Schizosaccharomyces pombe: one gene and its partner. The protein of the gene in region 1 interacts with the protein of each later gene in a biochemical or structural test. Each region holds a gene or a part of one and is shown in the gene's direction. Other genes may lie near its edges.

Region 1 (7,571 bases):
ACACCTTTTTTTTACGATATTAGCATGAAGAAATCAACAAGGCTAATCAATAATTGAATAGCGTTAGCTTTAAATAAATTCAACGGAAGAAATCCTTGCTTCTCAAGAGAACGGCTCGAGTTTGCTGTGTGCGTGCAAGTTGAGAGAAATAAGCGGGAGGCAAATTGGTGGAGCAAACCACATATCTAATTTATACAACCGAAAACATGGTTTTGACTGTGAAGCCGGCAAAACTAACAAATGCATTTTACTGACTAAAATATCTTTCATATCTTTTGTTTTTAAAAACCGCATATTGGCAAAAAATTTCTAAATCGATAGGTAGATCCTTCGAAAATCCCAATTGATCGACTAGTAAGCGAGGCCGAATAATATGGCGATGAATGCACAATTCATTCAATGTTTATGAATGAGCACTTTGAAAATGGATATTCCATGAAAGATAGATAATAGAAAATCGGTATTAAATGTATTTGATTTTGTAGTCTTTCATCTATCTGTCTAATAATGGTTTGCAACATCGATGTTTATGATATTACAAATTGTTTTTAGGAACTTTTTTCTTATAGTTGATATAAAACTAATATAATAGGGTCGAAAGCGATTCATTTTAACTCATCGATTAATTCAAATTTTGATGTGTTAGTCTAATCCTGGATTTATTTACATGGGCAAAGATTTTTATCAAGGACAAATAGTATTTCAATGCCCAATTCATTTGGTTCCAGATTTTTTGAAAAACTTTTTTTTAAATGTTTTTATTTTCTTTCACATATACTCTGTTACCGATTCGATTTAAAATATTATTGAGCAAAAGCAGTATGCAAGGGTATTGGAATAATATTGACAAAAGCAAGGTATGAAACTTTAAAAAAAACAAATTAGATTTTATTTTATTTTTTTAAGTATAAGAGTTTACGTCTCGTTCTTTTACAGCAGCACCCCATTTTCGAATCGTATGTGTAACGAAATTTTTGAATTTAATTGTAAACATTACTTAAAATCAACACTGTTTTAAGATATTTTTTTGCTTTTTAAAAATAAGCAACAAGTTAAATAGAGACCGCTTTTATTGGAAACAGCAAGCATACACTTACCAAAACTCAACTCCTATTCTTATAACAGTTTTAGAGAGACATAATACTCGTTAGCATAATACACAGTCAAACAATAAAATAATAAATTGGTAATTGTTTAGTTACATTGTCTAGACAGAAAGAAGCAAGATGTGGGGAATTTCCGAGTTTTTACCTTGAGCTTTAACGAACAATTTTTAGCCCTTTAAAAATCGATACTTTAGTCGGTTGCATTCTCTACGTCGTTTTACTAATATAATCAACTCTCGTGCTGTGTTCGTTTTTTCAACTTTTGGTTGCTTCATAAAAACCATATTATTTATTTCAAACAAAGTAATATAACCTCGTCTGTACTAGCTGAATCCGATAAATGCCTTCAAACTTCATTCTTATATTTATTTCATACAATGATAATTTTGCTAACCCACACCCCTTCACTTACCCAGTCCCAGACACATCAAAATTTGCTCAAAATGGGTAAAGGTAAGTTCAATAAGATATTTTTAGGTTCTAATAAATCTTTAGTTTCTTTAAAAGATGAATTGGCAGGGATGCTAAACCCTCAACCGCAGGGTATGTTATTAACGAAAAATTCCGGGATTCTTACTCACATAAATAGAAAGAGACCCTGAAGCTTTAGAGGACGCATTCTCTGATAGAGAGGACTCTAGCGAAGAAGAAAACGATACCTTAGGGAGAGAACATTATGTTGATGTTAGGTATGTTCAAAATTTTTACTTTTGCGTATTTGAGCTTATACTAATGTTTCATATTTTATAGTGAAAGTAAATTACGCTCAAAACAGGCTCCTCAGTTAGACCCAAAATTTAAAGGAAGAAAAACGTCTCGCCAGGAATTACTTAATAGCGGTTCTTTAAACTCTCAATCTTCATCACCATCTGAAGAAGAAGATTCGGAGGAAGACGAAAATGATGCAGTTTCAGAAGATCACGAAAATTTTTCAAGCTCAGAAGCTTCATCAATTTCTGAGGAAAATGAAGATGACGACCAATCTTCTGCCATTCCTGAAAAAGACATGGATCGTTTAAAAAAGATTATAAATGGAGAGAAAAAGCTATCTGATCAAATTCGTACATCCGCCCTTGAAGACATGAAAAAGGGTTTAGCTTTGAAGGAGCAGATGCGTTTTTACGATAATGTTTTAGATACTAGAATCCGTCTTCAAAAAGGATGTAGTCAACTTCTTTCTTCCAGCAACCAACTTCAAGGTGATAAAGTAGAAGCCCGAGATGGTTTAGTATCTTTTATTCAACACACTTTACAGCTGAGGAAAAACTTACTTATTGACTCTGGAGTGGAAATTCTTGACAGTAGATCAAAAAGAAAAGAGAATCCTGTTAGTCTAGAAGAAATTGCTTTAGAAATGAATAACCTTGACGACTCTTTGAATGAGTGGAAAAATGATACTTTAACCAAATGGCATAATCGGGTTCAAGCAGTGCAAGGGATTTCGCAATCTAACAAATTCAAGGCTCTAAATCAAAGTATTGTTCAACAAATCGAAAATTCTATGATTAACAAGAAAGATTTGGTCGAGCGCACTAGAATTGATTACAGTGACCCTAACAACAAAACTTTCAATCCCGAAATTTACAACGACACGGATTTTTATCAATCATTATTGAAGGATTTCATTAATTCTAGAATGGCAGACTCTACTCGAGATGGCACTGTTCGTTGGATGGCTACAAAAAAGCAAAAACAGAAGAAAGAAAACGTTGATACTAAGGCATCCAAAGGTCGAAAAATAAGGTATCACGTTCATGATAAATTACAAAATTTTATGGCTCCCATTGAAGTGACTGTATGGCCGGATGAACAAACTGAAGATTTGTTTAGTAGTCTGTTGGGTCAACAATTAGATTTATCAGAGACAGCTAATGATACAAATACTTCAAACTTCGTGGAGAAGGATGATGAACTGATCTCTTCCAACGACGGATTTTCTCTCTTCGGTTGAAAATAAGCTTGTGCGTGTTGGATAAGCTTCACTATTTGTCTTTTTTTTAATATACGCAAGCTGTGCTAAACATTTAGGGTGCATGATTATTTTTACTTACAGTATATCTTTTTTCGGTTTTAAAAAGGGCATTCGCGGATTTTGGTTCTATTATAATATATTTCGTTTACAATTATTTAGGTTAATAAAAAAATTTAACATATATATGGTTACATAGATGGTCACAATGTCGGGCAATTACAAGTAATAAAGGGTTATCTTGGGCTGAAGGTTTTAGTTTTTGTGCACTTTAGTATTTTAAGCATAAAAGTATGTACGTTTATATGATGTACAGTTGAACTCTTTCTGCTGCAAATTAAAAGCAGCTATAAGTTTCTTCTTATTACAATTCATTGTGTATATACAGATTATTTTGCGATTGATGTTGGCCATTACACTTTCGTACAAATTTCGGCGCGCGTGTCTATACTAATATAAGTGCGTTAAAGCAGGTGCTAGAAAACACCACATTATAGATTTACCTCTGTATATACCAGTTTCAATTCTGTTTGTCAAAAATTGTCGAGATTTATTTACTTCTATTAGCATGAATTAAGAAATTAATCGTCATATCGACTAGAAACTATCGTTATTCGTTCAGCATTCGTCTACATCAATTCACGTACTGGTATATAAAATGGAATTCACTGTTTCAAATGTTAATCTTCGGGACCTCGCAAGGATCTTTACAAATCTTTCTAGAATCGATGATGCTGTCAACTGGGAAATTAACAAAAATCAGGTGTGTTGGAACTTTTTTCAAACCTTACTAAACATTGAAACTAATTGGTAAAGATAGAGATTACATGTTTAAATTCTTCTAGGTCAGGATTTAGCATGGTGACTTTAAAAAAGGCATTTTTTGACAAGTACATTTTTCAGCCGGATTCCGTCCTGTTGACGGGATTGATGACTCCTACAATACGTATTCGTACGCAAGTCAAGCCCATACTATCTGTGTTTAGAAACAAAATCTTTGATTTCATCCCGACTGTCGTCACTACCAATAGCAAGAACGGTTATGGCAGTGAATCTGCAAGCAGAAAAGATGTGATTGTCGAGAATGTTCAAATCTCAATCTCTACTGGTAGCGAGTGTAGGATTATATTTAAATTCTTATGCAAGCACGGTACGTAGTTTGTCCGTCTTATTATTTTATTTGCTCTACTAACGTTTATTCATCAAGGAGTGATTAAAACATATAAAATATCATATGAACAAACCCAAACTTTACACGCTGTTTTTGATAAATCTCTTAGTCACAATAATTTTCAAATAAACTCAAAAATTCTAAAAGATTTGACTGAACATTTTGGTCAGAGAACGGAAGAGCTTACAATTCAACCACTTCAAGAACGTGTTTTACTTACAAGTTTCACAGAAGAGGTCGTACATAATAGAGATATTTTGAAGCAACCTACCCAAACAACTGTTTCCATTGATGGTAAAGAATTTGAACGCGTCGCACTTAATGAGGGAGTCTCTGTTACCCTTTCTCTACGTGAATTTCGTGCTGCCGTCATTTTAGCAGAGGCATTGGGAAGCTCGATTTGTGCATATTACGGTGTCCCAGGAAAACCGATACTTTTAACTTTTGCAAAAGGGAAAAATTCCGAAATTGAAGCGCAGTTCATTCTTGCAACTGTAGTTGGATCAGATGAACAAGAGGTGTCATCTATGATGGGAAATAGATGGCAGCACAGTTCAACACCAGCTTCTCTGTTCAATTCAGTAGAGCGCAACAACTCATTGACTGCTGTAGCACATAATCCCCCTGGATCTATTGGATGGCAAACTGATGTATGTAATTCGGCTTTAGTACTAAGTACAATAATTTATTAACATTAACTTTATAGCAAAGTGACTCATCCAGAATGTTTAATTCTGCGCTTGACCGAAGCGACGAAACTAATGGCATTAAGGAGCCATCAACCACAAACGATGCTGGTCAATCATTGTTCTTAGATGGTATTCCTAATGAATCCGAGCTTGCTGCTTTTAATAATGATGTGAACGATGATGCCGAATTTGGACCAACGCAAGCTGAACAAAGTTATCATGGCATTTTCTCTCAGGAAGACTAGGAAAATCCTTCTTTGCTATGGTGTGTAAAATTATGAACATTTACAGGTGCTTGTGACAACCTCATAAAACACAGCACTCATATTATATAATGTACAATATTTATCAATAATTTAGTTTTTTTTAACTACAAAATTACCCTCATCATACGATACGTTACATAGTAGTTCTAATAAATCAATAAGATAGTGAATAATGTAACCCAATTAATTAAATTCCAATCCACGGCCTATAAAAAGTCTAATATACATTTTTGCATTTTCATCTGAATGCAAAATTTAAGTCATTACACGAACTCAAAGAAAGTTTTAAACTTGTTTCTTAATCAATTCGTTAATTTCTTCTCCACAATAGCCAGCCTTTCGACCCTCATTAAAATGTTTGACCTTTTTCTCCATCAAACTGTGTTTAACTGGAGTCAAAGTGAATGGCCATAAGAATTTAGTAACTTCCTTAAAATGAGAGCCTACATTGTAAATTTCATGAATGATATCTTCAATGGAAATAACATCATATTTGCCCAAGGCCTCCTCAATTAATGCATTATCAGAGAGAGCAATACGCTGACCATTGATCTTACCAAAGCCACGTTTATAAATGAGTTCACGAACAGAATGTAAATTGGGAATACCATACATAACATAAGGTTCGACGATTCGAAGCATTTGAGCAACGGCTTTATTATTTCGCACAAAAACGGCATTGTTAATTCGAGAAAGGCGTAATAAGCGCAGAACTTTGCGAATTTTAGGAGGCATATTCTTGACTCCGGCAATTCGAATAACGAAAAGAAGTTTTGTTTCATCAGGCACGAAAATGTCTCCTTTATTTTTCGCAGATCGATTTAACCTAATCCGTTCTCTTTCTCGTTGGCGGTAGTTATTAATAAAAGTCTCAGCCCTTTTGAAGGTTTCTTTACGATTTTTCTTCTGGGCCTGGAGTAAAATTAGTAAAATGTTTTTAACAATATATAAAAATTGATGAAGTCAAAGGTTTAAATTTAACCAATACAAAATATATGAATCAGCCGAAAGATGGTATTTTGGAGCAGCATCGTCGAAACTAGCAATCCAAGAGTGAAAGGTTCATCTTTTTCATATAAATATGTATATTATGGATATTTCAAACCTGTAGAACAAGCAATTCACATACCTCTTTTTTGGCAATAGCCTGCTCAACACGTTCTTTCCGAGTACGCTCATTGACCTTGCGCTTTTTTAAAAGCACCTCAGGTTCAAGCATAGTCTGTTGTACAACCGGTGCATCCTCCGCCATTTTATCGTCTGTTAGTAACGAGTAGAGGGCACGTTGGGACTATAGACAGACGAAAAATTATAGCTATGAAATGTGACTGCTTTAAGACACATAATGTTCTTCGTTACAATCCGCTAATAAGCGCAAAAAAATTTTGAAGCGATTTTCAAATAGGCTTTGAAATGTGTACTTAAAGGTAAAAAATGGTGTTTAAAAACTATGGCAAATTTAATTTGACAATATAACAAAAATTGCACAATAGTAGATTGCTCCTTCCATATCGAAGCATCTCTTTCTAATAACCAAGACCAAACTTTATCTAATTGACCTTGTACCATTGAAATTCATGTTTAAAAGATATACAAACGATTTTAATAGGAATATTATCAATGTTGAATGTAATCACCTGGTGCTCAAACTCCTCAGGGACGTGGGATATGGAGATGATAAATTTTGCACAACATTAATCGAAACAGTGCGAAAACACATGAGAAGTTGAATAATTGTATTATTAGCCCTTAACTTCTTAGGGTAGCCGTTTAAATGTCATTCATCCTAAACTGAAAAAAAAAATGTGACATTGATGAAATATAGTTTTCCACACGCAATTTATGTAAAATAATCATATACATTTATAAAAATCAGAAAGCAATTATTAAAAGGAAACAATTGATAAACACAAATTTACATATACTGTAAGAAAATGCATGAAAGCCCTTGCAATTCAAAATGAAATTACAAGGTTATTCTATCAATACGACTGTACGACTTACAAACTCAAGAGACTACAATATTTACCACGCTCTTAAACAGCCACCAATGTTATATGCAAATAGGAATTTTAGTGAAACTACTTAAAATTTTTTAAGTGAACTAGCTTCCACTTCTGCTACTGGATACAATACTGTTTGCGAATGTACATAAAAAGCTTAAGTTACCCAAATTCAAACAAAATATTTATACTCCAGTTCTGCCTGATCCATTAACTACAGACATTTTACTTCTTCTTAGCCTCGGCCTCTTCAGCACGCTTCTTTTGGAAAGCAGCGCGAGCACCGGCATAACGAGCATAAGCACGCTCGTTGCTAAGGGTAGAGAAAGCGTTGAAGTTCTTGGCTTCTTCAGTAATGGGCTTGGCC
Region 2 (4,839 bases), on another chromosome or scaffold:
GGCATATCATCACACACCCACTTCGTAGATACGACATCTTCATTCAATTGACTGTTCTAAGTACCATAGCCGTTTCTACCTTATTAAGACAGAACTCTCAGACCAGATATATGATAGTGCATTGCATAACGTTATTTGGTTTAATGAAGTTTAACTACGACTTCGTAGATGAAAGGACGGTGCTTCGTAATGAAGATGACAGGAACACAAACAGAGTCAGAGAGAATACATGCAGATAGGAGCTGCGACAGAAGGCGTAGAAGCTGACTTGTCGGTGAATGCTGAGCCCGATGTGAAGCCTATAGCGAAAATGCTGTCAGCTTGTGTAGGAAGTGTAATTACAACGCTGACTGTAACGCCTTTAGATGTTGTGAAAACCCGCTTGCAGAGTGAATCTATTTCTCAATATTCTTCTACGCAACCCATTTCTTCAGCAAAGATATTGGGGAAGGGAAGGCCAGCTCCAAAGCCTTTAGGAGGCCCGGTATCCGGACTTTATCAGATCGCTCGGCATGAAGGTGTTAGAAGCTTGTGGCGTGGATTAGTTCCTTCATTGACAATGCTCTTGCCAGCAAACACTGTACAGTTTCTTGGGTATGAGCAATTACTTCCCTTATACAGTGATTGGGGCTTTCCTGCTGCTGCTGCAATCGCAGGAGCATCTGCGCGCACAATATCTGCTACTATTGTGTCTCCTATAGAATTATTCAGGACTCGAGTGCAAGCAGTAGGCGGCCATTATCCGCCCGGCCATGCGCGCGAGATTGCTAATGAGGTCTTTGATGGATTGAAATTAATGATTCATCAAAAAGGTATACTGAATTTATGGAGCGGTGTCAGCGTAACGTTGTGGAGAGATGTACCATTCAGTGCATTTTACTGGTGGTCGTATGAGAGAATTCGACTCTTCCTGCTTGGGCATCCATCACTTCAAGCATTTTCCAGCTCTCAATCTACAAAGGACCTCTATATCAATTTTGTGAGCGGAGGAATTAGTGGGACTCTAGCAACCCTATTAACTCAACCTTTCGATGTATCAAAAACTGCTAAGCAGGTGCATGGACATACGTTAACCAGAGGTCAGTTTATGTTAACCTTATGGAAGCGAGGTGGTCCCAAGGCCTTGTGGAAAGGCACGTTGCCTAGATGTGTTAAAGTTGCACCGTCCTGTGCAATCATGATTTCAAGTTATCATTTAACTAAAAAGTACTTTTCTGAGTCTGTTGATGCTTATTAATTTAGACGTTGATTTTCAGGTTTTGGTTGGCTTGATGAAACCTTTGTTCTTTTTTTTTCGGTTTAATGTTTTCATCTCTTTTCTTACAGGATTCCATTTATGTTGATAATTCCCCTCTCGCAACTCCATTTCTATTTGTAGTCTATATGTTTACTATAATACAGGATTCAAAAATGCAAATCGAAAGAGTCTTGAAAGTAAAATAGGTTGGGTTAATTTACGAAGCGTAGAAACTAAAAATTAATATTTTTTAATTTCTGATATTAGTCTCTAAAATAAAGCCATAGTAGAACAAGCTTGCTATGTTTTTACCAGACATTGAAGCTAATGCTTTCATTATATACCCATTGTTGTTCTTTTTAAAAGCTTTTTCAATGGTTGAGGATACATATATTTTATTCAATGTTTTTCTTTTCCGTTATTGAAAAGCAGAAACAGCTCGGGCCAAAAAGTTTAGATCTTTGAAGAAAGCGATTTTTAAAGTGGGAGCTTTTGTTATCCGTTTATTTTATATGAATTGACTAGACTAGAATCGTATATAACGAAATTATTTCTAAAATAAATATTGAAAGTGATAAAAAAAAGCCCTTTAACAAGATTTTTTTTAAGATACTAAGACAAAGCAAATTAAATATTTATTAGGTTTCATTCAACTGATCGGTGATATGAACTGTAACAGGGCAATGGTTACTTGTGTTTAAGCTTTTCTTCTTGAATTTACTGAGATAAGCAACAAGTAAGGACTTGCAGGAGACATTCTAAAATATCAATAAACAAATTCTTTATAGCTTCAATTGCGGTATAAATCAAATATTAGTAGCGTCGATCACCAACTTATCTGTCAGCGTACAGTGAGTACACTTTCGATAACACTTTACCTTTTCTATTACTCTTCAAAGACAATGGATAGTCGTTCATTAATAAAATCAAGCAAGAACACTACCCAAAAAGCGATTTACTATTAGAATTGAATTAGGCAGTGGAATGAACAACGCTATACTATTGCATATTCCGCACTTCAGCGCCTTAATGTTTAAACCATTTTACCGCTTTTCATTAAAGCTTGTTAAGTGTTCGCTTAACGCTCAATTTAGTATGAATATAGCAGGTGTCCTCCGCCAAAATTTTCTCTGCAAACCTGGGATGTCATTCCAAACGTTAGAGCGAGAAAGGACGTTTAAAAATCCGCCCAAGGACGGAACGAGCTTTCCAGATTTGCAAAAGGCCGTAAAACCTCATGTTGATTCCTTTAACGCCCTTACTAATGCCGGACTACTCAACTATGCTGTTAAGGAAATTGGTGAGAAATGTGCATTTGACTCGATCACACAAGAAGAAGGTGGTGCATTGAAATTTGGAAATAAGATTTCCTTCCGCGTTGATGAGGTTCAAATTGCGAAGCCAATGTTGTCTAGTCGTGAAAGGTCTTCTATTAACCGCAAAGTCTACCCTGCTGAAGCCAGAGAGCGTTTGACTACTTATAAATCAAGATTGGTTCTTAAATTCTCATGGAGTGTCAATGGAGGCCCTAGACAATCAGAAATGCGTGAAGTAGGCATGATTCCCATCATGGTACGGTCCAACAGATGTCATCTGGAAGGATTGTCTCCTGCCGAACTTATTGCTCATAAAGAGGAGAGCGAAGAGATGGGCGGTTACTTTATCGTTAACGGTATTGAGAAGTTGATTCGTATGTTAATTTTACCTAAGCGCAATCATCCTACTGCCATCATTCGCCCTTCTTTTGCCAATCGTGGTACTAGCTACTCACAGTATGGTTTATCTATTCGTTGTGTCCGTCCAGACCAGTCTAGTTTAACCAACACCCTTCATTATCTTAACAATGGTGTTACGATGTTTCGTTTTCACTGGCGTAAAAACGAATATTTAATTCCTTCGATGATGATTCTTAAGGCCCTGTTAGAAACCAGCGATAAAGAAATTTTTGAGGGCATTGTTGGTAAAGATTTGGGAAATACTTTCTTGACGGATCGTGTTGAGCTTATGCTTAGAGCTTATAAGTCCTATGGTCTTTACTCCCAAACTGAAACACTTCAGTATTTGGGTAGCAAATTTCGTGTTGTTCTCGGCGTTGCTGAAGACCTAACTGATGTTGAAGTTGGCCGCTTTCTCTTACAAAAGGTTGTTTTAGTTCACCTTCGTGAAGCTAAGGATAAATTCCGCCTTCTCCTATTTATGATCCGCAAGTTATATGCACTTGTAGCTGGAGAGTGCTGTGCCGATAACCCTGACTCTCCACAACATCAGGAAATTTTATTAGGTGGTTTTCTTTATGGTCAAATTCTTAAGGAGAAGATTGAGGATTGGCTAAATAGCATCCGCGCTCAAATTAATTTGGATGTTCGACGCTCAGCGCCTGGTGTTGATTTCTCCGATCGTAAATACTTGACCCGTGTCTTTTCTAAAATTAACAATGACATCGGAACGAAATTACAATATTTCTTGAGTACCGGTAACCTTGTTTCCAATACTGGTCTTGATTTACAACAAGCTACAGGTTACACTGTTGTCGCCGAGAAGTTGAACTTCTACCGCTTTCTTTCACATTTTCGAATGGTACACCGTGGTGCATTTTTTGCTGAGCTTAAAACTACTACTGTCCGTAAATTGCTTCCTGAAGCTTGGGGTTTCATGTGTCCAGTTCACACACCCGATGGTTCTCCATGTGGTCTTTTAAACCATTTGGCTAGAAAATGTGAAATTGTCACCCATCCTTCTGATGTAAGTCAAATCCCATCACTTTTGCTATCGTTGGGTGTTGATCCTCCAAGTGTAGTTGGTCATGAATCTGGTTGGGGATGCGTACAATTGGATGGAAAGATTGTTGGTTGGTGTACTTACAAACTTGCTAAGCACGTTGCTGATGTGCTACGTTTAATGAAAATTGAATATGCTGTCAAGTTGCGTAATGGAACTGCCACTGAACCTGCTAAGGTCCCTTTAGATTTGGAAATTGGATATGTGCCTCCGTCTCATAACGGGCAATATCCAGGTCTTTATCTGTTTAGCAATCCTGCAAGGATGGTTCGACCGGTTAAGCACATTTCTACTGGTGAACTTGATATGCTTGGTCCATTTGAGCAAGTTTACATGGATATTGCATGTTTCCCTAAAGAAATCGTTCCTAAAGTTTCTACTCATGTAGAGTATTCGCCCACAAATGTACTCTCCATCGTTGCCAATATGACTCCATTCTCAGACTTTAACCAGTCTCCTCGTAACATGTATCAATGTCAGATGGGTAAACAAACTATGGGTACGCCTGGTACGGCCCTTCGTTATCGTACTGACAACAAACTTTATCGTCTTCAAACAGGACAAACACCAGTTGTTCGTCCTAAGCTTCACAATACCTATGGCCTCGATCATTATCCAAATGGTACAAACGCTGTTGTTGCCGTTATCTCATACACTGGTTACGATATGGAAGATGCTATGATTTTGAATAAATCTGCTCATGAGCGTGGTTTTGGTTATGGTACTGTATATAAGGGTGAATCTTTTGACCTTTCCCAAAAGCGTCGCAGAGGTGAACCAGTCGTTCACCATTTTGGTTTTGCTCCCGGTTCAACGCCTCGTCG

What was found. The genes of interacting proteins can lie anywhere in the genome.
Region 2: the proteins of rad9 (region 1) and rpa2 form a complex in vitro, tested with the Schizosaccharomyces pombe proteins (one study listed by BioGRID).

The regions. Positions count from the first base shown.
Region 1 is NC_003424.3:1,711,699-1,719,269, reverse strand, and holds rad9 (checkpoint clamp complex protein Rad9), read left to right. Parts: upstream 1-3,553; 5' UTR 3,554-3,733; coding exon 3,734-3,838; exon of another isoform or gene 3,839-3,891; coding exon 3,892-4,225; exon of another isoform or gene 4,226-4,282; coding exon 4,283-4,896; exon of another isoform or gene 4,897-4,952; coding exon 4,953-5,180; 3' UTR 5,181-5,350; downstream 5,351-7,571. Other genes in the region: bfr2 (traub family ribosome biogenesis protein), read left to right, coding at 1,550-1,559, 1,602-1,649, 1,696-1,795, 1,857-3,057; ribosome biogenesis protein rlp7, read right to left, coding at 5,487-6,113, 6,331-6,453; rpl13 (60S ribosomal protein eL13), read right to left, coding at 7,430-7,571. UniProt on the Schizosaccharomyces pombe protein: Acts in DNA repair and mutagenesis. Involved in promoting resistance to ionizing radiation and UV light, as well as regulating cell cycle progression after irradiation. Repressor of entry into mitosis that is activated by chromosome breaks.
Region 2 is NC_003423.3:2,005,739-2,010,577, forward strand, and holds the start of rpa2 (DNA-directed RNA polymerase I complex subunit Rpa2), read left to right. Parts: upstream 1-2,347; 5' UTR 2,348-2,380; coding exon 2,381-4,839. Other genes in the region: SPOM_SPBP23A10.17 (uncharacterized protein), read right to left, coding at 18-43; mtm1 (Mn(2+) ion transporter), read left to right, coding at 230-1,237. UniProt on the Schizosaccharomyces pombe protein: DNA-dependent RNA polymerase catalyzes the transcription of DNA into RNA using the four ribonucleoside triphosphates as substrates. Second largest core component of RNA polymerase I which synthesizes ribosomal RNA precursors.